7 linked regions of the Nothobranchius furzeri genome follow. The protein of the gene in region 1 purifies or fractionates together with the protein of each later gene. This does not show direct contact. Links are inferred from orthologs where the notes say so. Each region holds a gene or a part of one and is shown on either strand. Other genes may lie near its edges. The genes, in order: sqstm1, trim13, hadhb, pink1, ccnf, rad51 and nod2.

Region 1 (3,950 bases):
ATGTAAAACCTTATGGACCTGATTCTGGTGCAAGGTGTTAACTGGTTTAAATAAATATTTGTCTCAATGTCTGTAATTCATTCAGTTACCTGGTTTAAAAGTGGATTCATTTGGCTATTAATCAGTCTCACTGGAAGAACCTCACTCTAGCTCCAGGATGCTGAGAGCACTGATGCATTCTGGGATTGTTTAACTTTGTTTTAAGAACAAAAAGAAATCCAAGCATGCATGTTTATCATTGGACCAAAGCAATAAAAACAAATGATTACAATTAAATAATTGAAATTAAATGTTAAATTAATTTTACCTTAAGGTTGTTGAAACCTGATTATGTAATCAGAGCTCTTTATACAATGTAGTCAGAAAATATTTAGCTAATTCTTCCATTAAAAATCTTTGATTCTATAAATTGTTTTTAGTCAAGCTGACAAAACTGAATAACAGTTTCAAATGCAGTGACTTTCACTACATTGACCTTTAAAGGCTTTAAATGAGAGGTTTGGGTGGTTTTCAGCTTCATCTTGTGATTCTGAGTCAGCAAGTCATATGACTCATGCTGCTGCTGATTGGCTGCAGCGGCTGGGTGACATCACAGATGCAAACAAACATTTGATCAAAACAGAAGCTCATGAGACATTTGAAAAGAGTGATGCAAGGATGACTCAGGTGTTTGAGGAATACTGAGAGTTTGACTTATGTTTTACATTTCATATCCCATCTAATTGTTTACAACTGGACAGCAGAAAATCAGCTTGAATCTGGACTGATTAGAGCAGGATTTGCAGATTGCTTTCGTTTTAGCTGTAGATTAATTCTGTAAAAGTGTGTATGGGTTCTTGACTCTGTTGTAGTAATTACGGACTGGGGTTATCTTCAGCAGATAATTAACAGAAAAAGCATGTCGGGGTTGAAACCAAAGCTCAGTTAAAACACACACAAACATGCATGTTTATGTTTCTCTGCTGGATTTCTAGACCTGCAGTTGCGTTCTCAGCTGGATCCACTCATTTAGGATTTTCATATTTTTTTATTAATAAACTACAAATCAATCACTTTTCTAACAAATAAAACAATGTGCCACGTCACAATGACTAAGCGGCTTTCCCAACTAACACCTGCTCACGTGACTAGTTGGAAAGTCCCTCACCGTGCTGTGTAAAAAGATGTTTCTAGACGGCAATGGTCCCTCATTAGCGGAGCTCAATGAGGACCAATGGGAGGCTGTGTGCGTCTTTACGTCATCTTAAGACGATGACATAGAATGCGGAAGTAAACATAAAAGAGGCTGAAATTTACCGCTGCGTCACAAAGTTCTAGAGTTTGGTTCTCCGTTTGGTTGTTTTTCTGTCTCTGTTCGGAGTTTGGTTCGATTGAGTTCGTAATGTCGGTGACGGTGAAAGCCTACTTGCTGGGAAAGGACGAGCAGGTGAAGGAGATCCGCAGGTTTGCGGTGGACCAGGACGTCTCTTGCAGCTTCGAGTACCTGAGCAGGAAGGTGGCGGCAGCTTTCTCCAACCTGAGCAACTTCAACCTATTCTACAAGGGTGAGGCGCTTATATCAGAGCTGGTTCTGTTTCAACCCAAACACTGACTGGATTTCTGCTGCGTGTCTTTCTGGTTCTGGATTGTTTTTAATATTCTGATGAATGATGTTTGGTGCCACCTGATCTGTGCTTGGACTTGATGTTTGAGTTATGGTGTTTTAGATGAAGATGGAGACCTGGTGGCCTTCTCCTCTGATGATGAGCTGATGATGGGACTGGGTTTTGTCAAGGACGCCACCTTTCGCCTCTTCATTAAAGGTAAACAAGTCGTCTTCCTGTTATTTCTTTGTAAGGTTCCATCTGACTAAAGTTTTGTTGAACTCTTGCAGAAAAGAAGGAGCACCGCCGGGACTTCCCTCTTCATGCATTCCCCCCTTTCGCTTTCGGGCTCCCTCATCAACATGGACCTCCTCATGCCCCACCTCCTCACCCGGGCCCGCCCCCTGCCGTCCATCCCAACGTCACCTGTGACGGCTGTGAGGGCCCTGTGGTCGGAACGCGCTTCAAGTGTTCAGTGTGTCCAGACTACGACCTTTGCTCCACCTGCCAGGCTCGAGGGACCCACACTGAGCACCCTCTGCTGCCCGTGTGGCACCCTCTACAGGTGAGTAACCTGGATGACAGGTGTCAGAGCTCAGGTCACCACTGGCAGGTGTCAGAACAAGTCACATTTCCTGATTAAAATGTGATAAATCGGTGGTTTTCTTAAAATTTTATTTAGCAGTGGTTTCCTCGAGGAAAATGGATGAAAAAGATGAAACACTGCACGTGGAACCAGCACATGGCCCAGGCACAGACCCAAAACCAGGACCAGAACCAGAAGCAGGAGCAAACCATTCCCTCCAGCTCAGCATCTGACTGCAGCACCTCCTCTGGTAGGTGATGTGAACAGATCTGTGTTTATGTACAAACTGGTCATCAGTCAAAAGGAGTCCAACTCAGAGCCATTGTCCAATAACAGAGACTGACCTCTGACCTCTGTAGCTTCTCAGGTCAGCGTGAACTATTTGAAGAACATTGGCGAGGGCGTGGCTGCCATGCTGAGCCCACTAGGTGAGTTGTTTTACCTGGAGATGTTTTTAATGTGCAATAAACAAGAGGGAACTCATCCTAATACGCACACGAGTGTCATTCAGACATTTAAAGTCATTTTAAAGTGCTGTTCTGTCAATTTAGATTCCAAACTACTGTTTCTAGGAATAGGAAGTCCTCTGACCAGAGCATTACTTTTGGCTAGCTGGATCTGTGACATTAGAAGCTAATTTCCAGGATTAGCCAGAAGAAAAACCTCAATGTCCTGCTTTTCCTAATTGGCTGCTCCACTTGGGCAGAGTGAAAACCCAATGGCACACAGGCAGTAGCAGTAGCATAGTATTTCAAACGTTATTAGAATAAAACAAACAGCATAAACTAAAGAAACAATCTCATGTAAAATTGTAGGGCTTTAAAAACTGCTAATATAGCGTGCTAACGCGTCACTATGGGTTGTTTTTAAACACCAGAAACGATGTATTATTTCATTACCAAGCTGACTAGTTAGCCTCTGTTCAGAGGAGCACTTTGTTTCACCTTCGGTGATGTCACCTGCAGGCAGTGTCTGTACTGTAGATATATGACCTATTGACCATCCCTTCAGAAAGATCAGAATATCACATTTAACCGTTTCTATTAAACTTCCTGACAACAGAATCCTGATGAAGTAGGGACTTTATCTGTGCATGTGCAGGTATTGATGTGGACATCGACGTGGAGCATGAGGGGCAAAGGATGAAGGTGACTTCACCTACTCAAGGTGAGGAAGAGCAGGGTGAAGTGCAGATGGATGTGGGAGCTGGCGAAAGTGGAGCCAGCAATGAAGGTGGAGCAAAGCAGGGGCCAAAGGTCAGTCTTCCTCAGACAAAAACTAATAGATCAGTCTAATTAATGACAATTACTGACCAAATACACAAATCTGCAGGTGGGCCGAGATGAAGATGATGAGTGGACTCATCTCAGCTCTAAAGAGGTTGATCCATCTACAGGTGAGCTTCAGTCGCTGGAGGGCCAGGGCTCAGGCCCAAGTCCAAGTCCAGGTCCAGGTCCAGCTCCTCTGTCAGGGACCGAGGAGGGACCCACAGGTCTGCGGGAGGCAGCTCTTTATCCACACCTGCCTCAAGGTGAGTTCAGATTCTGCGGTTCAAGTTTTTTTTTTTTTTTGGTAGTCCTGTCCCTATTAAGCCCCTCCCCTTTGTCCCCCACAGAGGCTGACCCCCGCCTGGTGGAGTCGCTGGCGTCAATGCTCTCGATGGGTTTTACAGATGAAGGCGGCTGGTTGACTCGGCTCCTTCAGGCTAAAAACTTCGAGATTGGAGCTGCACTCGATGCCATCCAGTACGCCAAGCAGTCCCACCCACGCCAGTGACATCA
Region 2 (3,767 bases), on another chromosome or scaffold:
GGACTTGTGTTGTTTTTATCTTATATCTGCCCAGCAACAGAAATCTATATATGTACAGGCGCGCCATGACGCATCCTGTAATAAGGCGTGTGCTGACATCAATGATTCACTTCGTGGTCTGGTTTGGGGGCTTTTCATTCCTGTAGAGGGAAATAAAATGTTAAACATTTTTCAACAAAATTCACAGTTTTTTCGATCTGAGCTACTTTATTTAGAGAGTTCACAGAGCACTCAAACAGTTTTTAGTGTTCATTTGAAAATAAATGAGACCGCAGATGTTTATTGTGGAATAAAGCAGCATGTTATTTTGGGGGGGTTTATGAAAGCATTTTTGGAGATCTGCTCCTTTTTTCTCCCTGATGAATATTTCACACGGGCCCTGTTACATAACTAACCTTGAGGAGGTTGCAGCGTCATGGCGCATCCTGTGGGAGGCCATGAATCAACTGCGCTTCTTTACCCAGTTTGATGCTCTAAATGAAAACAGCCATAGAGGTGACTCAAATTTCTCGGGTTTATTTGTGTTCAGATATATAAAAAAAGGTACAAAAGAATACCAGATTTAGTAAAAGGTGAAGTAAATTAGTGTTGGACTGAAAAATGAGGTTGATTTTAAGGCTCGTTTGAGGCAAAAGACAGATTGTAAACACTAAATTATAAGTTTTAGATGTTATATTTAAAATGAAATGAAGATTATAATTTACATCTGTGCATAAAGTGGACAGTGCTGTCAATGAACTTGTTGACATATTCCTGACCTGCATCCACCATATCTGCGCATATCTCAGTCACTTTTCGCATGTAGGCGTCAGCGTGCAAAGAACGTTTAGTGGGAAACACTTGGATCATTGAGGTCATTTCTGTAGTGTCCAGCAGCAGCGGCAGGATGAGGAGTGACATCGGCAGCGTGATCAGGAATAAAACGATCCATCTGCGCACCGTGATCCATGCGGATCGCGTTCTGGAACCACTCTCACACGGGACTGAGATCTTGTCCACTTCACTGAGCCTGAGAGAATCCCACCTTTTCACGTCAAACTCGCTCACAAGTGGCCCGACGTCCATGTCTTTGCGTGAGGGCAGGGGAGTCTCCTTGAGGACTTTCATTTTCTCTCGGAACTCTTGCATCTGCTGCAGAAAGCACAGGGGTTCGGATGCGCTCCTGAAGGATTCGATGATGCTGAGCGCACCTCTCTGCTCCTCCAGCGCTGCGCTCAGCTTGGTGATCTCCGGGTCGTACGCCTGCATCACCACCAACTTCAGGGTTTCAAAATCGGACAGGATCTCGCTCTTTTTGCACTCGAGGGAACTGATGAGTTTATCAAAATAGTCTGCCACTTTCTCTGCGTCCTTGGTGATGGACCGGAGCGCCTTTTTCTTACTTGCTTGTAGTGTCTCCAGACAGGACAGCATGTCCGCGCTCCTCCAGCTCTTCACCTCATGCTGCAGCTCTCCAAATGCCTTCTTCTCTTGCTCATAAGCATCATCCAGGGAGCAGAATCCGTGCCCTTTATGCTCATCCGTCGTTGCGCAAAAGCCACAAATGAGCCTCAAATCAGTTGCGCAGAACATATTCAGGGGCTGGTCACAGTGTTGTTTACAAACCTTCATTTTTGGCATCACCTTTATTTTGCTGAACTTGTCAACTATTCCGCGCAGAGAATAGTTGATCTGCAGGCTATTTGCGCCGTTGTGGGGGGTTTCTTTGCGGCATGTGGGGCATTTGATGGGAATTCTGAAAGCTGGTCCCCTGATTCCTTCCAAGAGTCCATCCAGGCATTTCTTGCAGAAGCTGTGTGAGCACAGCAACACCCGCGGGTCCTCGAAGAGTCCACAGCAAACCGGACAGGTCAGCTCCTCTTCCAGCTGCTCCATGACGTCCTGTAAACACATCACCGGCGCGTCAAATACAGACCTAGACAGTCAGATTCAATAATCACTCACACTCACATGGATGCCATGCCACTTCGTAAGCCACAAAATTATTATCAAAAACACAGCAGCATCGCAAACGATACATATTTTGAATGGCAATCATGTTCCGGCTGAAGCATTTCCCTCCTGAAAGTGAAACTGACTTGCATCGCGGTGCCTGCGTAAAACCCAGGCATGAGCGCTGACAACGACTCCGTTTGCGCATTTATGGCTGAGCGACATCCTGTTTAGGGATCTGCTACCCTTTATCGCTTGGAAAGGTTTTTAGAAAGGTCAAGTCACCAAATCAGAAAATGGAAAGTCCTAAAAATGTGTTTCTCAGTAGACAGAGCTGACTGAGCCCTTAAATCAAACGACGCGTCTCCCTCGCTCTAATCCAGTGCGGTAAATTATCAACAATCAGCTCGCTCCTTGTTGGCAAGGCACCGAAAGCAGGGCTTATGACAGATTTTGCAAGCGCATAGTAACATGCAACTACTGGACCAAAAGAATCGCTCACCAGCTGCTGAGACGCTCAGTGCAACGCAATCATGGCGCTTGTTGCTGTGCAGACTTCGCCCTTTCCGGGTATGCGGTTAACCATTTCAGGCGCACATTAAAATGTGAAATATTGCGTTTCCCTTCTATTTGTGCGCACACGAGACATCCATCGTGGTGTGTGTCGATTTTCACATCGCGTATGTGTGTTTCTGATCATTTGGCAGCTTCTTTGTTGAGTACTTGAGTGTTTTCGTTTTTGGTCGCTGTAGGGTAATTCGCAGAGGATCCCTGGCAGTCGGATGGGGGAGGGGCTGTTGCTATGCAAAACGTTACAGCGTGAAAAACTGTCAAGTAGGTTATGGTTCCAGCCTGGCATCCACTTTTTTAACTTTGGACTACTTTATGTGTTAGTAATCATCAAAATATGCAACTGTGTGCACTTACAGCTGCAATAACTGGGATGATAAATAACACCAGTCAGCGCCGCGCTGAGCAAACGTAAAAGGTACTCCTCGGTTCAGCAACAGAAGCTGATCAGTGTGCTGTCATGGGCTGATTTATTACAGTTAGAACGCCAAATCTAAACTCCGATTCCCACATATTCAACTTTTAGCACATTCTGTGTTATGTAACATCAATACTCAATAGTTACTTAGTCACGTGGAAAAATGTTGACCTTGATTTTCTTCCCTTGTTTCCATGCCATCAGGAGCAACTGCCTATCTTAGCAGCTGTGATTGGATACCGTGAGGCAGCAAGGCACACTTGTAGTTCTGACTATTTCCGCTAGGAGCCGGTGTTGTATAACGGCGGATCTTTTCATGCTGTGACCGCCTGTGCTCTTTGGTTTTCTGGGTTCGTTTCCGGATGTTTGGCTAGTGTGGAAGCAAGAATGGCTGCGATGTTTACGTGTTGTTTTGGCTGCTGCGGAGAAGGCGGTTCGGGGCATGTTCCCCTCAAAGAGATGCCCACTGTTCAGTTAGACACTCATCACATGGGTAAGGAAGGTTTTATGAGCTGCAAGGACCTTATACAGACGCAGTTTGATATCTAAACGTATCTTAATAGCGCGTCAATCCCGCTGCTAAAATGAGCTAGCAAAAATGCTATTGATGTTCTTCGATTGTAGTCTTGTTGGTTTCAAATGCTTACTTTTAGCCCCACTGAGACAAAATAATATAATTAATTTGGCACAAAAGCTTACAAGATGTATTCGTTTTGTCTTTGTTAATTTTATTTTGTAGTACAATTAACGAGACGTGGTTACAGTCGAGAAAAAATAACCTCTTACAGATTTCTTCAGCTTTTGCATTTTGATTAAGATCAACACACAGATTTCAACATCAAATAAA
Region 3 (3,096 bases), on another chromosome or scaffold:
CACACTCGCCAAAAAGGCCCAGAGCGACGGGCTGCTGGAGGATGTGGTGTCCTTTAAAGTGCCAGGTAAGCTCTGCTTCTCACCTCAACAGTAGGGCTGTGCCATCTTACGTAGATTCTTGCTGTCTTTTTTTTCTCTTGTCATAGCTTTTTGTTTTTTTCCACTTAATTCAGCACACGTTAATTCAAGCTACCAAATACCGTTTACTCCACTACTTTATTCATGTAAGATCGAACAAATTCCCTACGTAGGCTTGAAACCTACAGGATAAACCTGGATAATGAAAGTTAACAGGTCAGTTTAGTTTTTGAACTGGGATCAGCTGAGAGTCGGCAGAGATGTGGCGCTTCTGGTCTTTAAAACACCCGACCGTTCACGTGGGGCTGTGAGGACCTTTAGGAGCGTTGCTTCAGTCGGCATAACACTTTAGTTTAGGGAACACCAATTAACCATTAATTAGCTGCTAATTAATATGCATATTAGTGGACATCTAAGTCTGAGCTAGTCATTATTAAGCACTTATAAACAGCTTATTACTAATGCCGTCATTCTAACATTAACAGGCCATAAACTAAGAGTTTTATCTAAATAAGCCATTCATAATGGTTTGTTACCTGTTTGGTAACTGGTTTGTTGCTGATTAACACACATGCTAAGTAGCTCACATCAACTGACCCTTTGCACGTGACGTCACGCCACTCATGTGACCGCCCCCTTCGCCATGCTGGACGGCAAAAAGACCGTTTACACCCGTAGAAACTCCAGTGATGGTAGTCAAAACAAGCCAGTTTGTAGCCTTGTATCGCTTTTATTTAGTTGATTTGACAGTAAAATGGTTTTAGCTTGCTGCGTGGTCGGCTGCACTAAGAGACAAGGACGTAAACTCAACTCGTTTTTTACTTTTAATAACTTTGATGGAGACTGATGACGGAGATGATGCAGCGATCAATCAAGCGGACTAGCAGGCCTCAGATTTGCAGCAAACATGTTTTTACCTGGTAAGATTAACGTTCATTTATTTCACGAGGAAGACAGGGATAAATGTGATGTGTTTATACTAGTTATTGATAATCCTGATGGATGGGTATTTCACCACGGAGGCTGCGCTCCGTCCACTGTAGTGTAAAGCGAGACAATTATTAACAATATTAAAGCTCAGATGTATGATTACGTGTGGTAAAATGATGTTATTTATTTATATGAGCGTCGGCATTCAGAGATCTTCTCATTCCGGTGTGAGAGCAGCAGCTGAACCCGGTAACACCACCAGCAACAGAAGCTGGTAGGGATCCGGACTCAGCTTTGGTGTAAAATGCTGTTTACAACATAAAGTTATAAATCCAAAGGGGTGAATTTAGGCAAAGTCAGCAACATGTTTACATCGGTGAACAGCTGCAGAGAGAACGTAAGCTAACGTTGGTAAGCTAGTTAACATACCGCTCTCTATGAGCCCCCGCTAGATGCGCTACTTCTTCTGATAACTGAACTGGGCATGAACTAGTGGAAGGAATGCTGGAGGAGTTTTGTTTTTGTTTTGATCACAAAAACAATTTCAGGCTCTACTTTTCCCTTTGTTTACTACTCGTGTCGCTCACTGTTTACATGCTTTAGCCGTCCACCATGGTGGACCCACGTGATTAGGTGACGTCGGTGCAAAGGGTCAATATGTGGCTTTTAAAGATGTAATTCAAGGGGAACATATTCTTGCCTTTAAGTGGTTAATTAATACAGAACTACTAGTAATTAGGTATGAACAAAATCTGACTTTAGAATGGGGAACATATTCTTGCTTACAAGTGGTTAGATTGTTGTTTAGGCTCTATTAACATGGAGTTTGGTGTTTATTTGCATATTACCAGAACGTAATATTTTTGGTTATTAATGCAGAATAATTATTCCCCTTCAATTACTTTGTTACAAGCCTCACATTGATGATATTGAATCAGCAACAAACCATTATGATTGGCTCATTTTGATAAAACTCTTAATTTATGGCCTGCTAATATTAGAATTACAGCGTTGGTAATAATCATCTAATAATAGCTTAATAATGACCAATTCAGACTTAGTAGTCCACTAATATGTATGTAAATTGGCAGCTAATTAATGGTTACTTTGTGTCCCCTAAACTAAAGTGTTACCAAAGCAAGTTACGTTCAAGCTAACAGGAAGCTTGTGACAGCGAGGAGACGGCGCCCACACCCTTTATCCCACCATCATGTGACCACTTTTATGTGGCCAAAGGCTCCCGGGTGCTGCCTCGGCTTTGCAGCAAAGCAACGCCGGAGATTTATGGAGAGGCCGGAGTTGCGGGAAAGTTTAGTTAATCCTTCCTCGGCTGTTTGCTAGTTAGGAGGAATAACCTCTGGCTTCTTCTCTTTATCTAACCCGGGATGGAAACGCGGAAGGTGTGTTGCTGTTGTGCTTTTAGTTTTACACAACTCTTCTTTAATCTGTCTGACGAGTAAATCTCACACTCAGTGGCTGAAACTAATAAAAAAAAAAGCTTCCGCCGTTGCGGGTTTGTTTTTTTCGCTGGTCCGTCCCGTAAAGTGTCCGGGTGGCACAAGTAACTTTTATGTTCCTACCACGCCCGACGGCTGTTTTAGCATTTATTTATAATCGGTTATGAACATTTATGAATAGATGTTTGAGTTGGCACGTGTCTCACCCCTACTGATTATTATCTTTACTGTCATTTGTTTTGTTTACAGAATGTTTAGGGGAACAAACTGTGGTTAAAAGTCTGTATGTTTGTCTCTTCAGGTCGTGATATTGTGTCTCAGGACAACGGTATCCGCCCATCGTCCATGGAGCAAATGGCCAAACTCAAACCTGCCTTCGTTAAACCTCACGGGACCGTCACTGCCGCCAACTCGTCCTTCCTGGTAAAACTCGCCTGGACTCTCGGGGTCTTTCTGCTCCGGTGTGATGGAAACTCATCAGTTAGAACTTTATTCCACCATGATCTTCTCCGCTAGAAGTCTAGATGGAGCTTTTTATGTCTCTGCTTGTCTTTCAGCTTCTTCTCTTCCGTCACGTTTGTCTGATTTTTCCTCGACTGTAAATAAATGTACGTTTATTTCATCAGACTGA
Region 4 (4,143 bases), on another chromosome or scaffold:
GACATTTTAGCTGTCCAGATTTTTATACAATGTTCACATATTTCAGTTTTTTGCTATTTAGGATGATTTTTCTCCATTCTTCACTAACTTTTTCTCTTCAAATTATTCTGGTGAGTGCTGGTGCTGCTGTAACAAGTGAATTTCCCCACTGTGGGATCAATAAAGTCTATTCTATTCTATTCTATTAAGTTTATTTATATAGCGCCAAATCACGACAAGAGTCGTCTCAAGGCACTTCACATAATAAACATCCCAATTCAGGTCTGTTCATTGAGCCAATCAGAAAAAATGTTTCCTATATAAGGAACTCAGCAAATTGCATCGAGTCACTGACTAGTGTCAGAGTCTTTACAGCAATCCTCATACTAAGCAAGCATAAAGCGACAGTGGAGAGGAAAACTCCCTTTTAACAGGAAGAAACCTCCAGAGAATCCTGGCTCAGTATAAGCAGCCATCCTCCACGACTCACGAGATAGATAGATAGATAGATAGATAGATAGATAGATAGATAGATAGATAGATAGATAGATAGATAGATAGATAGATAGATAGATAGATAGTAGGCCTACTTGTCTTGCATTAAGTTATTTACCTGAAATGTTGAAGGAATAAACCAACCGTACATAACATAAATGAACTAAGTCTAAAGTCAAATCGATAATGTGGCTCTATGCAGGTGGGTAGTTGGCAGAGGTATGGACTTGAGTAACATGACTTGGACTCGAGTCAGACTTGAGTATTTATTTTAATGACTTCTGATTTGACTTGATAAAACCTATAAAGACTTACAACTTGACTCGGACTTGAACACCAGTGAATTGCTACTTGAATCGACTTGCATCTGTTGACTTGATGATGACTTGAGCATATTTGATATTCAGCACAAAAGTGGCACGACACGGACGAAAATCATAAATGATTCTTTGTTCTGGGTTTGATCTTGTTCTGCCAACTGCAGCAGCACTTTGTTTATAATCAGTTTCAGTTGCACTTTCTGCTTATTTGAGCAAATAAATTCAGTTTTAAGAAGTTTTATTTCTGGAATTTATTTATTATCATTGTCATTAAATTGAAGTTGGACAGATGACTTGATTATGACTTGAAAATTCAAAGTTTAGGACTTGGACTTCCACATCATTGACTTTGGGCTCGACTTGAACTTGGTTGTCTTTGACTTGGACTTGACTGGAAAGACTTGTGACTTACTTGTGACTTGAAAAGCAGTGACTTGGTCACACCTAGTCTGGTAGTTGGACATGTGGTAGAAATGGCTCTTTGGGTTGTAATCACACATGTCGTGTGACGCTCTTGACGCTTGATGTCGCCAGAGGATCTTAGAATCTTCTGCGCATGCTCCACAGCTGTTGTTTACTAACAAGATAAGCTAGCGGAAGTGAGCTTTCCAAGCCTCTTGAGGCACATTTTTGTGTTCACAATGTCTGTGAAGCACGCCATTAGCCGGGGGCTGGAGTTGGGACGCTCCTTCCTTCAGCTGGGTCTTCTTAAATCCCGTGGCCGAGTCGCAGCGAAGCTCCTAGCTGAGCGTTTCCGTGCAGGCCCGTCGGTCCGCACCGTTCAGCCTCAGGCTTTCCTGCCGTCCCGGTACCGGTATTACCGCACCTCCCTGAAGGGGCTGGCAGCCCAGCTTCAGTACGCCGGCTTCAGGAGGAGGTTAACCGGCGGCTCGCCTCGTAACAGGGCCCTGTTTTTGGCTTTCGGTCTCGGCGTGGGTCTCGTCGAGCAACAGCTTGAAGATGACAGACGGAGTGCGACAGCCTGTCAGGAGATCCAGGTGAGGTTCTCTCGAAACGCAAACTTGCAGTCATGGCCAAATATTAATGATTCAAACAGAAGTTGAAACGAGAAGAGTTTGAGAATTTCTCTGGAAACCACAGTGAACCAGCATGATGGTGGCCTCCTGAGCAGCAACAGTGGGCTGCTAGAACATGAGCAGGATGTCGAGGAAAGCTGTGAGCTCATTTGTGGAGGAGTGGAAGAGCCATGACTGCGGGGTTGGTGTGGTCCTGTTCTCAGCATTGAATGCAAAGAACCATCACATCTTCAAATGCATTGTTGTTTATGTGTCAGATAAATACACTCGGCTTGTAGTGGGGGACCCAGACAGAGCCTTGGGGAACACCCAAAGAGCAGATCAGATGGAAACGCTGAGTTTGAAGAGTAGGTTCTGAACCAATTCTTTCTCCCAAACTGCAGGCAGTGTTCAGAAAGAAAACGTTCCAGAGCCCTCTCATACCGTTCAGCTCTGGATACAAGCTGGAAGACTACATCATTGGAAACCAGATTGGTAAAGGTTCAAATGCAGCTGTGTACGAAGCGGCACCTCAGTTTTTTAACTCAAAGGAAAGCAATGGAGAGCACTCGCTGGAACAGGTCAGAGAAGACAAAGAGGATGTCCAGATGGTGAGATCTCCAACGTGCTGCTCTCTGATGAACTTCCCCCTGGCTATCAAGATGTTGTGGAACTTTGGGGTGAGTCATTCAGGTCCAAAGAAAAAGGAAACTTAAAAAAAAACATAAAAACGACTTCTTTTAAATGTCATTTGTTTGCAGGCAGGGTCTTCGAGTGAGGCGATATTAAAATCTATGTCACAGGAGCTGGTTCCTTCTGGTCCTCTTGCATTTAAGCCAGAAGAGGAAGAGATCACCCTGGATGGGTAGATGTTTACACATTCTGCAGTGTAGTGCAGATCTGAGGACGATAGTCATGCTTATGTTTGATCTCTCTACATGCAGATATTTTGGAGTCGTCCCTAAAAGGGTCTCTGCTCACCCTAATGTGATCAGAGTTCACCGGGCGTTCACTGCAGATGTGCCGTTGCTTCCAGGAGCTCAGGAAGAGTATCCAGATGTGCTTCCAGCCAGACTCAACCCCGCAGGCCTGGGCAACAACCGCACTCTTTTTGTGGTCATGAAGAAGTGAGACCCGATTCCTAAATGTGAAATAGTTTGTGAACAGACTTTTGGGGAAAGAAGAAGGCCAGCAGATGCATTCAAGTGGATCATTCTGGTCATTTTTCACTTTTTGCTGTGCAGGTCATCCTCAGATACATAAGTGTTGTTTTTTGCTTCCATAGTTATCCCTGCACACTGCGACAGTACCTGCAGGTGACCAAGCCCAGCTGCAGGCAGAGATCCCTGATGGTACTGCAGCTCCTGGAGGGGGTGGATCATCTGTGCCAGCAGGGCGTCGCCCATCGGGATCTCAAGTCAGACAACGTGCTGCTGGAGTTTGACTCGGGTCGGATTTAAAAACACGAAGCTTCCATTAGACGCCATGTTTCTATCTGTTGCACTAAAATGATTTTGTTTGGGTTTTATTCTTCTAGGTGGTTGTCCTCGTTTAGTGATTACTGACTTTGGCTGCTGTTTGGCTCAGAGTGGCTCCAGCCTACAGCTTCCCTTCAGCAGCCTGTGTGTCAGCAGAGGAGGAAACATCTCGCTCATGGCTCCTGAGGTACGCTTCACCTCTTCTTTATCAGGATCAGAGCCAGCTTTAGCTGTTTAGTTCCTAAGGTCAGATCAGCAAACAGAAAAATGTCTCCAACTTTACTGGTTTGATTATATTGAGCTGAGAATTACTCACAAAACTTACTGGCTCAAGGGCTTGGGATCTGTTGGAAAAGTTCTTGATTAACGTGGAAACACGTGAAATTAGTATGAGTAGAAAACAGCACAGGCTAGTTAGGAATTAAGATTTTAATTGAAACGATGCTTATTTTCTTTAAACTTTAGTTTTCATTAAAGGGACTTTACGGCGTTTTGAATTTTTATGCTCGCGATTGCCCCCTCAGGCCAAAAGCATAACGGCAGCTTCAATAGTAGGCTCGTGCACGCATGCTGTACGTGCACACTCCTTAATGAAAATAACAGCTGAGACAGTCCCGTGTGTGTGTGTGTGTGTGTGTGTGTGTAGCCGGGAGGACAGGAGAACGCACAGCTAATTAATTAAATAATTTGGTTCTGTACCTTTCTCTTCAGCACAGCCGACAAAGGTTTATGATGGGTCAGTCCTCCTGCATGCTCAGATCATTCCCTTCCCTTGCTTGAAAAATTGTTCCAAAATGAAAGTTGAACCCACATCTTTTTTATCTGTGAATTCAATGCCGTTCGCCAAGTCTCAAA
Region 5 (3,445 bases), on another chromosome or scaffold:
ATTTCATTAAATCCCATTGTAATTTGTGATTGGGCTGTTAACAGCCAATACTAATCAGATAACTGAGTCTCATCTCCGCAATAGTCTTTGTAAAAAAATAAAAATAAAAACATCAACAACACACCTTTTGAAACTGAATTAGCACCGATTCTGAATTTGTGGACCGATACCGGTTTGTAATTCTTGTACAGCTGATTCAGATTTAGGCTGGTTCTGATTTAACTCTGAGAAGAAGAAGTGTTTATTCCCAAATGAAGTCAGGAAGTAAAAACATTCACAGGGAGGATCTGTAACTTGGGAGTACTGGTGAGTTCACAGACCAGGAATAACGGTTTTTTTTAATTGCATAAAACCAAACAACAACAAACAAACCGTTTTTATGATTCAGTCGATCTTGAAGCCAGGTTTTTGGAGCATCTCTTTTCTTGCTCACTAACTATTGTTTCTGTCATTTCTGTGTCTCTCTTGTTTTCTTTTTTCATTCCATCTTAACCATAGTTTTTATTTTATCTTGAATCTTTCTTTATTTTTTATAGAGCTTGTGATTTTGAACTTGAAAGGTGTTATATATAAAACTTCCTTCTGTTTAAATCAAACGCACATCTGAATGAATCAAATATTCATGTTTTCCTTTTTTTTATTTCAGTCACATTTCATAAACCAGAGTTTAGTTCAAATACTCCACTAGTGGAAATAATAATAATAGAAAAACCAATAAATGCAGTTTGGATGACCTGTAGATATGACATCACCTCTATTGATTGTTTTGTTTCTCCACATTTGTATTGATCACCGATTGGGTAATAAAAATATATTTTCCATCCACAAAACTACAAATAAGATCTGAGAAAACACTCTGCTCCGTGTTGTGTTTTATGACTGCACTGTGACTCACACACACACGCACACACAAGTACCTTCTCACTGCTCTTTTCTCTGTAAAACCGATGAGAGCTATTGATCGGGCATGTGCCGGGCTGTTTTCAGCATGCACGTATTGATTAAGAAAAAGATGCTGAGAACGTCCGGTTACTAAAAAGAAAGGTCGTTAGGGATTTAAAGGTGGCATAAAACACAGATCATAAGAACAGTAGGAGGCACCACTCGATGTGAGTCACACAAACGTGAGTCACTTTGACGGACGAGCAATATGTCGGCAAACTAATTCTCAAATTGACAAGTAGCAAGATTTGTCGTGGAGACTTGATTATATCTGTGCAGCAAGCAAAGTGGATCAAACTCAATTTTTAAAAAAAAATTTATTTATTTTTTTTCCCCCACTTCTCCATTCTACCTCAGTTTCAGTGAAGATGTTCCCAAAGATCACAGACACGTGTCTCTGGCTGGTGTTGTGCAGCGATTTGAAGACGAGGCCTACCAGCAAATCAGCAAAGAAAAGGTAAAAGGATCAAACATTCCTCATTCTTTTTCTGCCTGTCTATATTGTTCTCAAATCCAAACGCTCATTGATTTTTTATTTTTTTATCTCTTTAAGGTGATGGATTTTAAAGAGCTCTGTCAGATCTTGGAGATTCCTGAAATTGAGCCTCAGATGGAACCTCCCAGTCCCACCAGTGGTCAACCAGCAGACATTCACACCTTCCTGGCTTCCCCGTCAAGCACCAGTAAGAGGTAGGTCAGCCGCCGACACACAGGCGACCTCGTGTTGGTGCTGGAGGATGTGGGACGGAGGAAAAGGTTTGTTACGAGACCAGACTCGCCAACAGGCCAGTGACGGCTGCCCCTGCCAGGTTTCTTGCTCATTTAGCGGTCCTGGTTGTCTCCTGAGCACCACCAGTGACTCGTGAACCGACTTGTCCAGAAGGCGTTTTTCTTTGTGCCGTCTGCCAGAAGCTCCTGTGACTCGCTGTAACCCTCCACTTGTCCACGTTCTCCCTGCAGGAGACGAGATGACAGCGTTCAGGACCACAGGGACAGTTTGGTGGCCACGCCCACAGCAGAGCTGTCCAATCAGGAGGAGACGCTGTTGGGAGACATCCTGGACTGGAGTCTGGACTCTTCCAGCTCTGGTTATGAGGGTGATCAAGAGGAAGAAAGCGATGGAGAGAAAGATGTGGATTGTGAGTGACAAGAACGAGGCTGAGAGTGTTTATTCCAACGGGATTATTAAAAGTCTTCCAGGCAATGAATATAAATGTTCTAATCTCCATGTAAAGTAGTAGAATAATGCATGAGCTACTCTCTGACTCGGCAGTTTTATTGTCCATCTTTATAAATGAAGACTAAATGTAGAGAAATAAAATTTGCTGTGCATTGTTTTTATGTATCTCATTTTTAATGTCTCTTCAACAGCTTCCATGATATCCATCAAACTGCACTCACTGGCTGGTGCTGATGATGGACGCGAACACTGCCGAGCTCTGTCCAGTGATGAAGACAGCTTCTGTGAAGTAGAAGTGAGCAAGGGTCACCAAGGTGAAGAAGCCCTCTCCGTGTCTGCAGACCCTCATAGTTCAGGGTACTCATCCGTCCAGAGCGTTAGCCCCTCGTCCACATGCTCCTCCTCCTCCTTCATGCATTTTGCATTTAGGACCTTTACCACCTCTCTGGGCGTGGCCTCCACTAACGCCCAGCCAGGTTTCCGCCTGTTGGTGCCCATGCAGAGGCCCAAAGGCACCTTCGCCAAACAAGTGAAGAGGAAGAACATTGCAGCTCATAGTGGAGGTGAAGTGGAACGAGACGATGATGACGACTTGGAAAGGGAAGGGTTTTCTGCCCGTGCTGGGTTTCTAAGCCTGTAGGAGGCGATATTTTTACGACTCACTCCGTTTCAAACCCGTCTTCACCAGCTGTCTCTCACTTAGTTCGTCAACCGCCAGAAGATCAATAGACTGGCTTTAAAGACTTGAAAGGGAAAACAAACACAATTAGGGATTGCTTGGAAACTCGTCGTTCTACCACATTTCATTTCCATGATTACAGGCGCGGAGCGGTTGGAAATCGCTCCCGTGAACTCGCCGTCATCTCTGAAACCCCCTGGAATATGACTTGATTGTTGCTCGGGAGCCTGGTGCTTTTCAGCCTGCTACAACAGCCTAGCTGAGATCACATTACTTAGCTGTAAAAGAAATAAAAACCACCGATTTACTGTTTCAGGTGGGAAAGAAAGTGTTGTTAGGGAAAAAAAAAAGCTGTTATAGTTTTTGTGACTATTAATATCGTCAAAGCCTTTGATATGCACTGTCTGTACAGGACAACCTTGTATTTGGTGAATTTCATCATAAGGCTACTACTGTGATCTAGTTGGTGAAAGTTTGCATCTGAAGAGGAGGCCCTCTTGCTTTTGTTTTGTCTTACATGTTTGCCAAAGGTGCAGAGGTGTCATTGGTCTTTCCCGTGGCCTCTGTCCAATCACACACAGCTGTGAAATGCATCACTTTGAGTCGGCAGCAGTCCCAACCGCACCACTCTGCTGTTGGTGACC
Region 6 (4,146 bases), on another chromosome or scaffold:
GCAGTCCTTCCCGGTCTGACCCAGAACCTGCGTCGGTGTCTTTGCCGAAAAACCTGCCTTGGACGTGAAGAAGCCAGGTGCCGGGCAATAGCCGTTCGTAACCTCGTCCTTCGTCTGTGGTCTTCCGCAAGCAGCAGTAATTCCTCTTGCAAAAACAAACAAGCAAAAAGCGCTTGGACAATTGATAAAGCGAGCGCAGCTCTGAGGGCATCCATGCTGTCGGCTAGTGTAAACACAGGTCGCACACGTGATGTCAGCATTTTTTTGTCGCGGAAAGTGACGTTGCGGACCTTAAAACTCCGGTTTTGTCTGTCCACACGCAGACACCCAAAACGGAGAAAACGCAGATCTTCACTTTGGCCGGAGTTTTTAAAAAGATGCGTTTTCGTGTGGATGACAGGCCAAAACGTAGAAAAATATCTACGTTTTGGCAGATCCCCGGCTACGTGTGGACAGGGCCTCAGACATCTGGTCAGAATGCTCCTGGACCCCTCCCTGCATTTCTGGGCACTTCCAACTGGGAGGAGACCCAAGTCCCAGGTCACGCTGGAGGGACTATGTCTCCCAGCTGGCCAGGGAATGCCTTGGGTTTCCCCGGAGGAGTTGGCCCATGTAGCTGCAGAGAGAGAAGTCTGGGCCTCTCAGCTTGGGCTGCTGCCCCCATGATCCAACTCCAGATAAGCAGCTGAAAATAGATAGATGAACGGACACCTAAATTTTCCCTCTGGGGACAATAAAGGAATTTTCTTTTGTATTTGTTTCTCAACTGAGGATTATTTTACAGAATAAATCCTGCTTTTCATTTAGGAGAAACAGCTGGCTGCTGTCATCCTTTTGTTTCTGCTGGTGGCATTGTTTATATCCTGGTAATGTTCTGTGAATGCTGGACGCTGGAGCACTAAGATCTGTATACCCCCCACTCACCACTGCCCTTTGTCCACCTGCAGACCTCAGTACAATCATGTGATGGATTAACAGATTCATAGTCTTGTGCAGTGCCAAATGGTTTATCTTTTTATGATAACTAATAAAAGCAACAGCAACATACTCTTACTTTTACCTTGGTGTAGATTTAACATTATGTTCTAAAAACTGTCTGCTATTCTATGCATCGATGACTGCATTTTAGATAGCTAAATTGCTTTTATAGAAATCACATTATTATAAATAATAATAATAATAATAATAATAATAATAATAATAGATAATAATAATAGATAATAGATAATATTATAGTATAATAATATTATAATAATTCATAGATTATAAAAAAAGAAGAAAAAAGCTCTATATGCTTTTATTTTGACGGGAAAAGAGATATCCTGTTTCACGCAAGCGAACTGTACGTTAAACGTCATCGCGTTGTTGTGCGCGCGGGACCTTTGAGAGAAGCGAGATAAAAACAAGAAGAAGAAAGAAGCAGGTAAAACGTTAGCTAGTACGGCATTATCGAGCAGGTACGTTAGTAAAAGGCTGTCTAGTATCATGTGTACGAGCTTACGAGACCGCAGCGTGAGTTTTAATCAGACTTATCTCTGGTCTGAGCAGGTTTGTCAGCAGTTTACAGACATTAACGCCACTTCAGATGCAGCGACAGTGCTAATGCTAAGCTAGCTGGCTGCCTGCGTAAAACTGCCAGGAAACCTCTTTTCAGGAGGTGGACATCTGTAACTGAAGATGATGGCAGTTTTATATTTTAGCTTTGATTTCAATCACAATCTTTGAACGTTGGCTCTGTGTTCTTGTGTTTTACAGCGTTGTTAAAACACTCTGAGCTCCACCACACAGAGTTGTGCTCTGTTTCACCGTCTGCGTCCCTCCTGTCTGCCTGATCCAGCTGCCATGGCGATGAGGAGCGAAACAGCAGTGGAGGCAGAGGTGGAGGAGGAGGAGAACTTCGGCCCACAGCCTCTGAGCAGACTGGAGGTTCGTTTCCTGACTTGTTCCCTCTGAGTTATTCTGGTCTTCTTTCACTCGAACTTTGACTTGTTTTATGGATGTTTTACAGGTTTTTCCTATGATTCACGTGAAGTAAACGTAAATGTGAATGCACCAAAGCACATTAAAGGTGAAGCTGTCAGCTTCACTCTAGGACAAGAAGTCTCCTTTGTGTCCAATCTGAATTGTAAATGCAGTCCTACAGGACACGTATCAGACAGTAGTAACCTCTCAGATACCAGCTGCCAGGTGCTACCTACACGAACATGACCCCAGAACCGCTCTCACACACCAGCGAAGAGTTTTGTCTTCTCTTTAAAAGCAGAAGAGGTTCTGTTGACGGTGGTCATTTCTCAGCTGGAACTAAAATCTGCAGCTCACATTAACTTCTTATTCAGGACCCTTCAGTATCGTATTGTGTGTGCTTTTATCTCAGACAAAACGGAGCTGTTTGATGACGGCAGTGATCCACTTTGGTCTTTGTCCTGTTTGGACTAGCTGTTAGCTCATCAATCTGGTCAGGACTAATCTGTTTCTCTAAACCGAGTCGGCTCAAAGAGCCAGGCAGTGATTGGTCAGAACCTTTTACAGAGTCTCCCTACAAAGATCTTAGCTGTATGTTGTCTTGTTTTATCCTCTAAGCTCAAAATGATCATTATTATTATTTTTGGTTTATTCAAAAGCTGAGCGCTGTTTCACCTGAGAGCTTGTCACTATAAGAACCCTGTTATGGTTTTAGTCTATGATCCAGTTCAGCAGCTCCAGTAGTTTCTGAGAGGGGATCACTGATTACCTGCTACTGTGGATGTGGAACAGCGTTTGTGCTCCTTTAGGTCGGTTCGGTCAGTGATGTCTGTACAGGGCTCTGGTTTTCCTGACTCAGTGGAATGATACTAGACTGGTCCTTGTCTTTTCATGCAGCAATGTGGCGTAAGTGCCAGTGACATCAAGAAGCTGGAGGACGCAGGTTTCCACACCATCGAAGCTGTGGCTTATGCACCGAAGAAGGAGCTGCTGAACATCAAGGGCATCAGCGAGGCCAAAGCAGACAAAATCTTAGTAAGGAGCATATTTTTATTCTCTGAGACATTAATATGCTTCTAGGAGAGAAGAGATCCATGGCAGCAACACCACCTATTTAACACTAAACACTAGGGTGAAATTAAATTGGTGAAATTATGGTGATGCAATATGTATCACGATACATTCAGGACATTAGCGATTTTTATTTATTTATTTATTTTTGACTGAATTTATTGTAGGAAAATTCAATAAACAGTCCAAACTGATACATAACATGTTTAACATGAGGTATCTGAACCATAATAGAGATTTACATTTCAATGGTGGATAGGAAACCCATTGCACACTGCTGCCATCTAGCGGTCAGCGTTTGCATCGCACCAAAATAAAAGCAAATACACAAGTTTGCATGTAAATTCTTTCAAAAATTAGACTCACAGCTTTTGAATATGGATGTAATATCACTAGAAAAAATATCAAGCTATATTGCCATATCGATATTTCCTTACATCCCTAGGCTACGTTATAAAACTATATCAGAAGCGTGTTGTTAATTCAATTGAAAAATACTTTATTAATCCCAGAGGGAAAGAGTCTGGACTTTAAAATCTAACAGATGTTACATTGAAAAACCTCTCTGCCCTTCTCACTCACTGACTCTCTGAAGAAAATGTTCTCAACGAGATGAAGAACACAAGCTTGCGATTGGTCAGGACGCCGCTTTCGTCAACAGCATTGTCATTGTGCTCTCAGAACCATAAAGCAAGCTGAAGACGTGTAGCAGCAGACCGAACACGCGTGTGCGTCTCCAACCTGTGGAGATGACGCAGAAGCATAAACGAGTCTCTTGAGAACAACAGGCTTTGTTTTACGATGCACATCCTTGAACCCAGATGCATCACACCAAGCCACACATGACAAACCGTCCCGCAGCGCTGATGAGGGCTCTAGTTTTGTTGCGCCGTTTGTGTCAGCGGACATTGTAGGGTCGGGGAGGGGGGCGGGGCATGACTATATATAAAGTGCTGGGGGAATCCCTGCACCTGATATGTGCAGGTAAACATGGGGGCTCCTGCGCGTGACGTAGAGATGACTGTCTGGAGTTTAGAACCAGAGGCTTCATCTGAAGTGGTCCACCTTAACCCCCTCTGTGATGTCACCAACACGAGGTTATTGAGTAAATGA
Region 7 (4,019 bases), on another chromosome or scaffold:
ACTGTTCTACTAGTCAATAGCTAATATTTGGGGCAGCTGTAGCTCAGGTGGTAGAGCGGGTTGCCTCATGATCGGAGGGTCGTGGGTTCGATTCCAGCTCCCGCCAGGGGAATCCTGCTGTTGTGTCCTTGGGCAAGACACTTCACCCAACATGCCTGTGTTAGTGGTGGTCAGAGGGGCCGACGGCGCCAAATGGCAGCCTCGCCTCTGTCAGACCTCCCCAGGGCGGCTGTGGCTACAAGTAGCTTACCATCACTAGCAGTGTGTGAATGTGAGAGTGTGTGAAAGCGTCTTTGGGTGTCTAGAAAAGAGCTATTTAAGTTCAATGCATTATTATTAATATTTAAATTTAGCCTTTATCAATTATCAATTATATCAATTATAATAAAAATAATTTTCCTGTTTACCAAAGTTCTGGATCATCCTTAATTTCCAAACTCATTGAACAACGAGGTCCTGAGAACCAGAGCTGTAGGATGTAAATGGTAAATGGTAAATGGCCCGTATTTGATATAGCGCCTTCTAGAGTCCTGGAACCCCCCAAGGCGCTTTACAACACAATCAGTCATTCACCCATTCACACACACATTCACACACTGGTGGGGATGAGCTACAATGTAGCCACAGCTGCCCTGGGGCGCACTGACAGAGGCGAGGCTGCCGAGCACTGGCGCCACCAGTCCCTCCGACCACCACCAGCAGGCAACGTGGGTTAAGTGTCTTGCCCAAGGACACAACGACAGCGACAGACTGAGCGGGACTCGAACCTGCAACCTTCCGATTACGGGGCGAGCACTTAACTCCTGTGCCACCATGTAACCCTATTTCTCCCCACTGAGGCTGTTCAGGAACCTCTTTAGCTAATATTTGTACATTTCTACACTTCAGAATAAATAAAATATGAATCAATGGACAAATCAACCAACATATCGGTCTGGTGGACCAATACCTTTAATAGTTTTAGAGTATTTTGGTGCTGAGGTGGACTGGCAGACTTTTGACCCGGAAGACACGATACCTTTAGGGATTTCCAGTTCCCTCTGGTTCTGCTGGGATCCAGATTCCTGTCTTCGCTGGATGAACTGAAGAAGAGCTGACGCCGCAGACTCCCCTTTGGATCCGACGTGATCGAGCAAACGCCGGGCCTGGTTGGGTTTGAACGAGAACAAATTTACCCGAGGCCGAAAGCAGCAGTTCCACTTTTTAAATTCACATTTTAGAGGAGATAACTGCACAGGAAACGGCTCGGCGCACCCGATTAGAGCTTCAGACAGGAAGCTGTGGAGGAAACGAGGTGATGTGCAGAAGTAAAACCCTAATTTAGCAGTCGCTGTACTAAAATCTCCTCTATCCTTCAGTCACATGTCTGACCCGTCTGCGGGTTTATGGCTTTTTACACCAAAGCTTTCCAGATAAATCACTTCATACCTAAAAAAAACGGGTCAGAATGAATGTTAAAAAGAAGCCACAGGCTCAGGATCAGAGGGAGAACCCTAATTTCCATCAGACCCAGATGGAACAACCCCAGGGACCTGCTGGAGATGTGGACGTTCTCGTCCACGCAGAGCTCTAAAGCTCCAAACTAGCATCTTAGAGTGGACTAAACAGGAAGTTGGTACAGCCCAAATAAGGACATGATGACATAAGGGTGAAACTATGTTTCACAAAACAAGTTTTCAAATCCCTTCAAAAGAAGCTGCCTGACACCACAAAGAAGGCTAAAAGATCTCAAAAAGCCAACATCATGACCTGTTCTAGAAATCCAAGAACATAAGAACCCAGAACAACATTTAAACCCTTTTGGGGATTCTTGACGACTGGTTGTAACTGATGGAATCATGAATTTGGTTCTCTGGTATCCTGCTGATGGACATTTGACCTTTGATGTCTGCGTCAATCAGCGATTCCCTTATTATGACATCACAAACAGGGACTTTTTCAAACCGTTTATATTTCGCAAATACTCCCTGAAGCCAAACCCCGACAGATGGACGGGCACTTTCAGGTTTGGAGTGTTTATAGGTGGTGGCACAAAGGTGAGTTTAGTCATATTACGATATGTCCTACTTATATGAATCCAGTCGTCTTGGAAACCGTATTCTGCACCAGCTACCTCCGTCAATCAAAAACAGTAAGTGACAAAAGAGCACAAAATGGAGGAGATGTGTTTACAAATGCCTTTTTTACCTGTTGAGACGGGGTGTGAACAGGCAGCAGGACCTCATCTCGTTCCTCTGAGGAAAAGTGACCTGATTCCAGGAGAGCTTCCAGAGCACCATCCACACAGTCCTGAAGCTTGCAGACCAAACTCAGCCGTTGTATTAGAACTGTCTCTGCAGACGTCTTCTGAACTCTGTCCTCTAAAGGTGGGGGACATCCTGAGGACAGGCCAACTCTTTGGCCTTCTGGAAAGACCTGATTGACAGCAGCGAAGAAGATTCTGCAGGCTTCCTCACCTTTTGTATAAAGCAGGTCGAGCAGCTGCCTGGCGTTGGTGTGCAGGGCCCTCCCCGGGACTTGAATGCTCTGGTAGTCCTCCCATCCCAGCTCCCCCTGAGCCAGCAGCACGTCCAGAACCCTTTCCAGGTGCTCAGCTGAGCCGCTCCTGCAGAGGGCGTGGAGAACCTCTGAACGCTGTTTCAGCAGCAGCTCCTGAGCAAGCATGCTTCAGTCTTATCAGCTCCCATGCTTCAATCCTTCAGCTTCACATCTGGTACCAACCAGTCCATCAGGAAAGCACAGAAATCAGATTTCCTCTAGTGTCCCCCTTCAACAGACTAGAAGACTCGCTCTCACCTGTAAACACAAAGCGACTGACTGCCTTCTCTCCAGCCCTCATCAACCCAAAAGGACCGTTCAACCACCTCTTCCTCATTCCTCGTCTAAAAACCGAAACCTGGTCTGTTTGCCAAGCAGCTCCAGTGGAGCAGAAAGTAAACAATGGCTGAACTACCATAAAGCTTAAGCATCCTCATGAATTTGATTTGACAGGATATTGTTTAAAATGTTTAAACAAACCAACACTAATGTGTTTCAGGGAAATCAAAAGTAAAACACAGATCTAAACCACTTGTAACTTGGTGTTGGAGCCACTAGATGGCGGTGTTCCACAACAAAAACCAAACCAGGAGGCTCGAGCTCATCTGCTTGTGGGGACTTGATAAACCTACATCTCATCCTGGCCATGTGCAACACAGAGGTAGGTCCTTTAACCCTTTCTGCTCCTCTGGCTTGTTGGTTTTTTTTAACGTTGGCAGTCAGACTAATGGTGGGGAGAATTTGGTCATCGCTGGATGCCAAATCTACGCCCCTGTGGGCTCATTTGTCATCTTAAAGTGCGGTTATTACATTTTACTTATCTTCAATTTTGCCCCTAAAACTATCTAATAATAAGTTAACATATCATTTAAAACATGTATTTATCTGATTTAAAAAGTGGATAAATTAAATCAGCCGTTGTGGTCAAACATTTACTCAGTTTTTCACTAGCTTTATTTTTTTACTCAATTGTTTTTTACTTGTATTTTTATGTTATTTTATTTATTTGAGTAGTTTGTACATTAAAGGTTGAATATGGAGCAATTTCATAAAAAGCTATACATTGTTTTAATAATACCTCCACGGGGCGTTTAGAGGTGTGCAGAATGAAGATACAATATTTCCTTTAAAAGCTATATTTTAATTAAAAATATAAGTGCTCTGTTATAGTAAATGGCCTGTATTTGATATAGCACCTTCTAGATTCCTGGAACCCCCCAAGGTGCTTTAAAACACAATCAGTTATTCACCCATTCACACACACATTCACACACTGGTGTTGATGAGCTACATTGTAGCCACAGCTGCCCTGGGGCGCACTGACAGAGGTGAGTCTGTTGTACGTAGGCGCCACCGGTCCCTCCGAACACCACCAGCAGGCAAGGTGGGTTAAGTGTCTTGCCCAAGGAGACAACGACCGCGACAGACTGAGCGGGGCTCGAACCTGCAACCTTCCATTTACAGAGCAAGCACTTAACTCC

What was found.
Region 2: the proteins of sqstm1 (region 1) and trim13 purify together in Homo sapiens (affinity purification with western blotting; 3 studies listed by BioGRID). This does not show direct contact. The link is inferred for Nothobranchius furzeri from reciprocal best matches to the Homo sapiens genes SQSTM1 and TRIM13.
Region 3: the proteins of sqstm1 (region 1) and hadhb purify together in Homo sapiens (affinity purification with mass spectrometry; 3 studies listed by BioGRID and IntAct, with this or other methods). This does not show direct contact. The link is inferred for Nothobranchius furzeri from reciprocal best matches to the Homo sapiens genes SQSTM1 and HADHB.
Region 4: the proteins of sqstm1 (region 1) and pink1 purify together in Homo sapiens (affinity purification with mass spectrometry; 3 studies listed by BioGRID and IntAct, with this or other methods). This does not show direct contact. The link is inferred for Nothobranchius furzeri from reciprocal best matches to the Homo sapiens genes SQSTM1 and PINK1.
Region 5: the proteins of sqstm1 (region 1) and ccnf purify together in Homo sapiens (affinity purification with western blotting; 3 studies listed by BioGRID). This does not show direct contact. The link is inferred for Nothobranchius furzeri from reciprocal best matches to the Homo sapiens genes SQSTM1 and CCNF.
Region 6: the proteins of sqstm1 (region 1) and rad51 purify together in Homo sapiens (affinity purification with western blotting; 3 studies listed by BioGRID). This does not show direct contact. The link is inferred for Nothobranchius furzeri from reciprocal best matches to the Homo sapiens genes SQSTM1 and RAD51.
Region 7: the proteins of sqstm1 (region 1) and nod2 purify together in Homo sapiens (affinity purification with western blotting; 4 studies listed by BioGRID and IntAct, with this or other methods). This does not show direct contact. The link is inferred for Nothobranchius furzeri from reciprocal best matches to the Homo sapiens genes SQSTM1 and NOD2.

What each region holds. Positions count from the first base shown.
Region 1 is NC_091741.1:64,353,584-64,357,533, forward strand, and holds the start of sqstm1 (sequestosome-1), read left to right. Parts: upstream 1-1,150; 5' UTR 1,151-1,381; coding exon 1,382-1,544; intron 1,545-1,706; coding exon 1,707-1,802; intron 1,803-1,873; coding exon 1,874-2,148; intron 2,149-2,265; coding exon 2,266-2,419; intron 2,420-2,528; coding exon 2,529-2,597; intron 2,598-3,270; coding exon 3,271-3,425; intron 3,426-3,501; coding exon 3,502-3,700; intron 3,701-3,784; coding exon 3,785-3,945; 3' UTR 3,946-3,950. UniProt on the Homo sapiens protein: Molecular adapter required for selective macroautophagy (aggrephagy) by acting as a bridge between polyubiquitinated proteins and autophagosomes.
Region 2 is NC_091754.1:26,763,769-26,767,535, reverse strand, and holds trim13 (tripartite motif-containing 13), read right to left. Parts: upstream 2,425-3,767; 5' UTR 2,112-2,424; coding exon 2,079-2,111; exon of another isoform or gene 1,951-2,078; intron 1,882-1,950; coding exon 694-1,881; 3' UTR 501-693; downstream 1-500. Other genes in the region: spryd7b (SPRY domain-containing protein 7b), read left to right, coding at 3,308-3,413. UniProt on the Homo sapiens protein: Endoplasmic reticulum (ER) membrane anchored E3 ligase involved in the retrotranslocation and turnover of membrane and secretory proteins from the ER through a set of processes named ER-associated degradation (ERAD).
Region 3 is NC_091742.1:11,824,653-11,827,748, reverse strand, and holds part of hadhb (trifunctional enzyme subunit beta, mitochondrial), read left to right. Parts: coding exon 1-65; intron 66-2,766; coding exon 2,767-2,888; intron 2,889-3,091; coding exon 3,092-3,096. UniProt on the Homo sapiens protein: Mitochondrial trifunctional enzyme catalyzes the last three of the four reactions of the mitochondrial beta-oxidation pathway.
Region 4 is NC_091755.1:38,779,652-38,783,794, reverse strand, and holds the start of pink1 (serine/threonine-protein kinase PINK1, mitochondrial), read left to right. Parts: upstream 1-1,343; 5' UTR 1,344-1,435; coding exon 1,436-1,792; intron 1,793-2,214; coding exon 2,215-2,490; intron 2,491-2,571; coding exon 2,572-2,675; intron 2,676-2,754; coding exon 2,755-2,937; intron 2,938-3,095; coding exon 3,096-3,259; intron 3,260-3,347; coding exon 3,348-3,475; intron 3,476-4,143. UniProt on the Homo sapiens protein: Serine/threonine-protein kinase which acts as a sensor of mitochondrial damage and protects against mitochondrial dysfunction during cellular stress.
Region 5 is NC_091752.1:57,977,772-57,981,216, forward strand, and holds the end of ccnf (cyclin-F), read left to right. Parts: intron 1-1,299; coding exon 1,300-1,399; intron 1,400-1,495; coding exon 1,496-1,632; intron 1,633-1,902; coding exon 1,903-2,081; intron 2,082-2,313; coding exon 2,314-2,762; 3' UTR 2,763-2,945; downstream 2,946-3,445. UniProt on the Homo sapiens protein: Substrate recognition component of a SCF (SKP1-CUL1-F-box protein) E3 ubiquitin-protein ligase complex which mediates the ubiquitination and subsequent proteasomal degradation of target proteins.
Region 6 is NC_091743.1:91,861,197-91,865,342, forward strand, and holds the start of rad51 (DNA repair protein RAD51 homolog 1), read left to right. Parts: upstream 1-1,346; 5' UTR 1,347-1,423; exon of another isoform or gene 1,424-1,457; intron 1,458-1,755; 5' UTR 1,756-1,842; coding exon 1,843-1,926; intron 1,927-2,859; coding exon 2,860-2,997; intron 2,998-4,146.
Region 7 is NC_091749.1:70,956,527-70,960,545, reverse strand, and holds the start of nod2 (nucleotide-binding oligomerization domain-containing protein 2), read right to left. Parts: upstream 2,801-4,019; 5' UTR 2,665-2,800; coding exon 2,188-2,664; intron 1,146-2,187; coding exon 1,019-1,145; intron 1-1,018. UniProt on the Homo sapiens protein: Pattern recognition receptor (PRR) that detects bacterial peptidoglycan fragments and other danger signals and plays an important role in gastrointestinal immunity.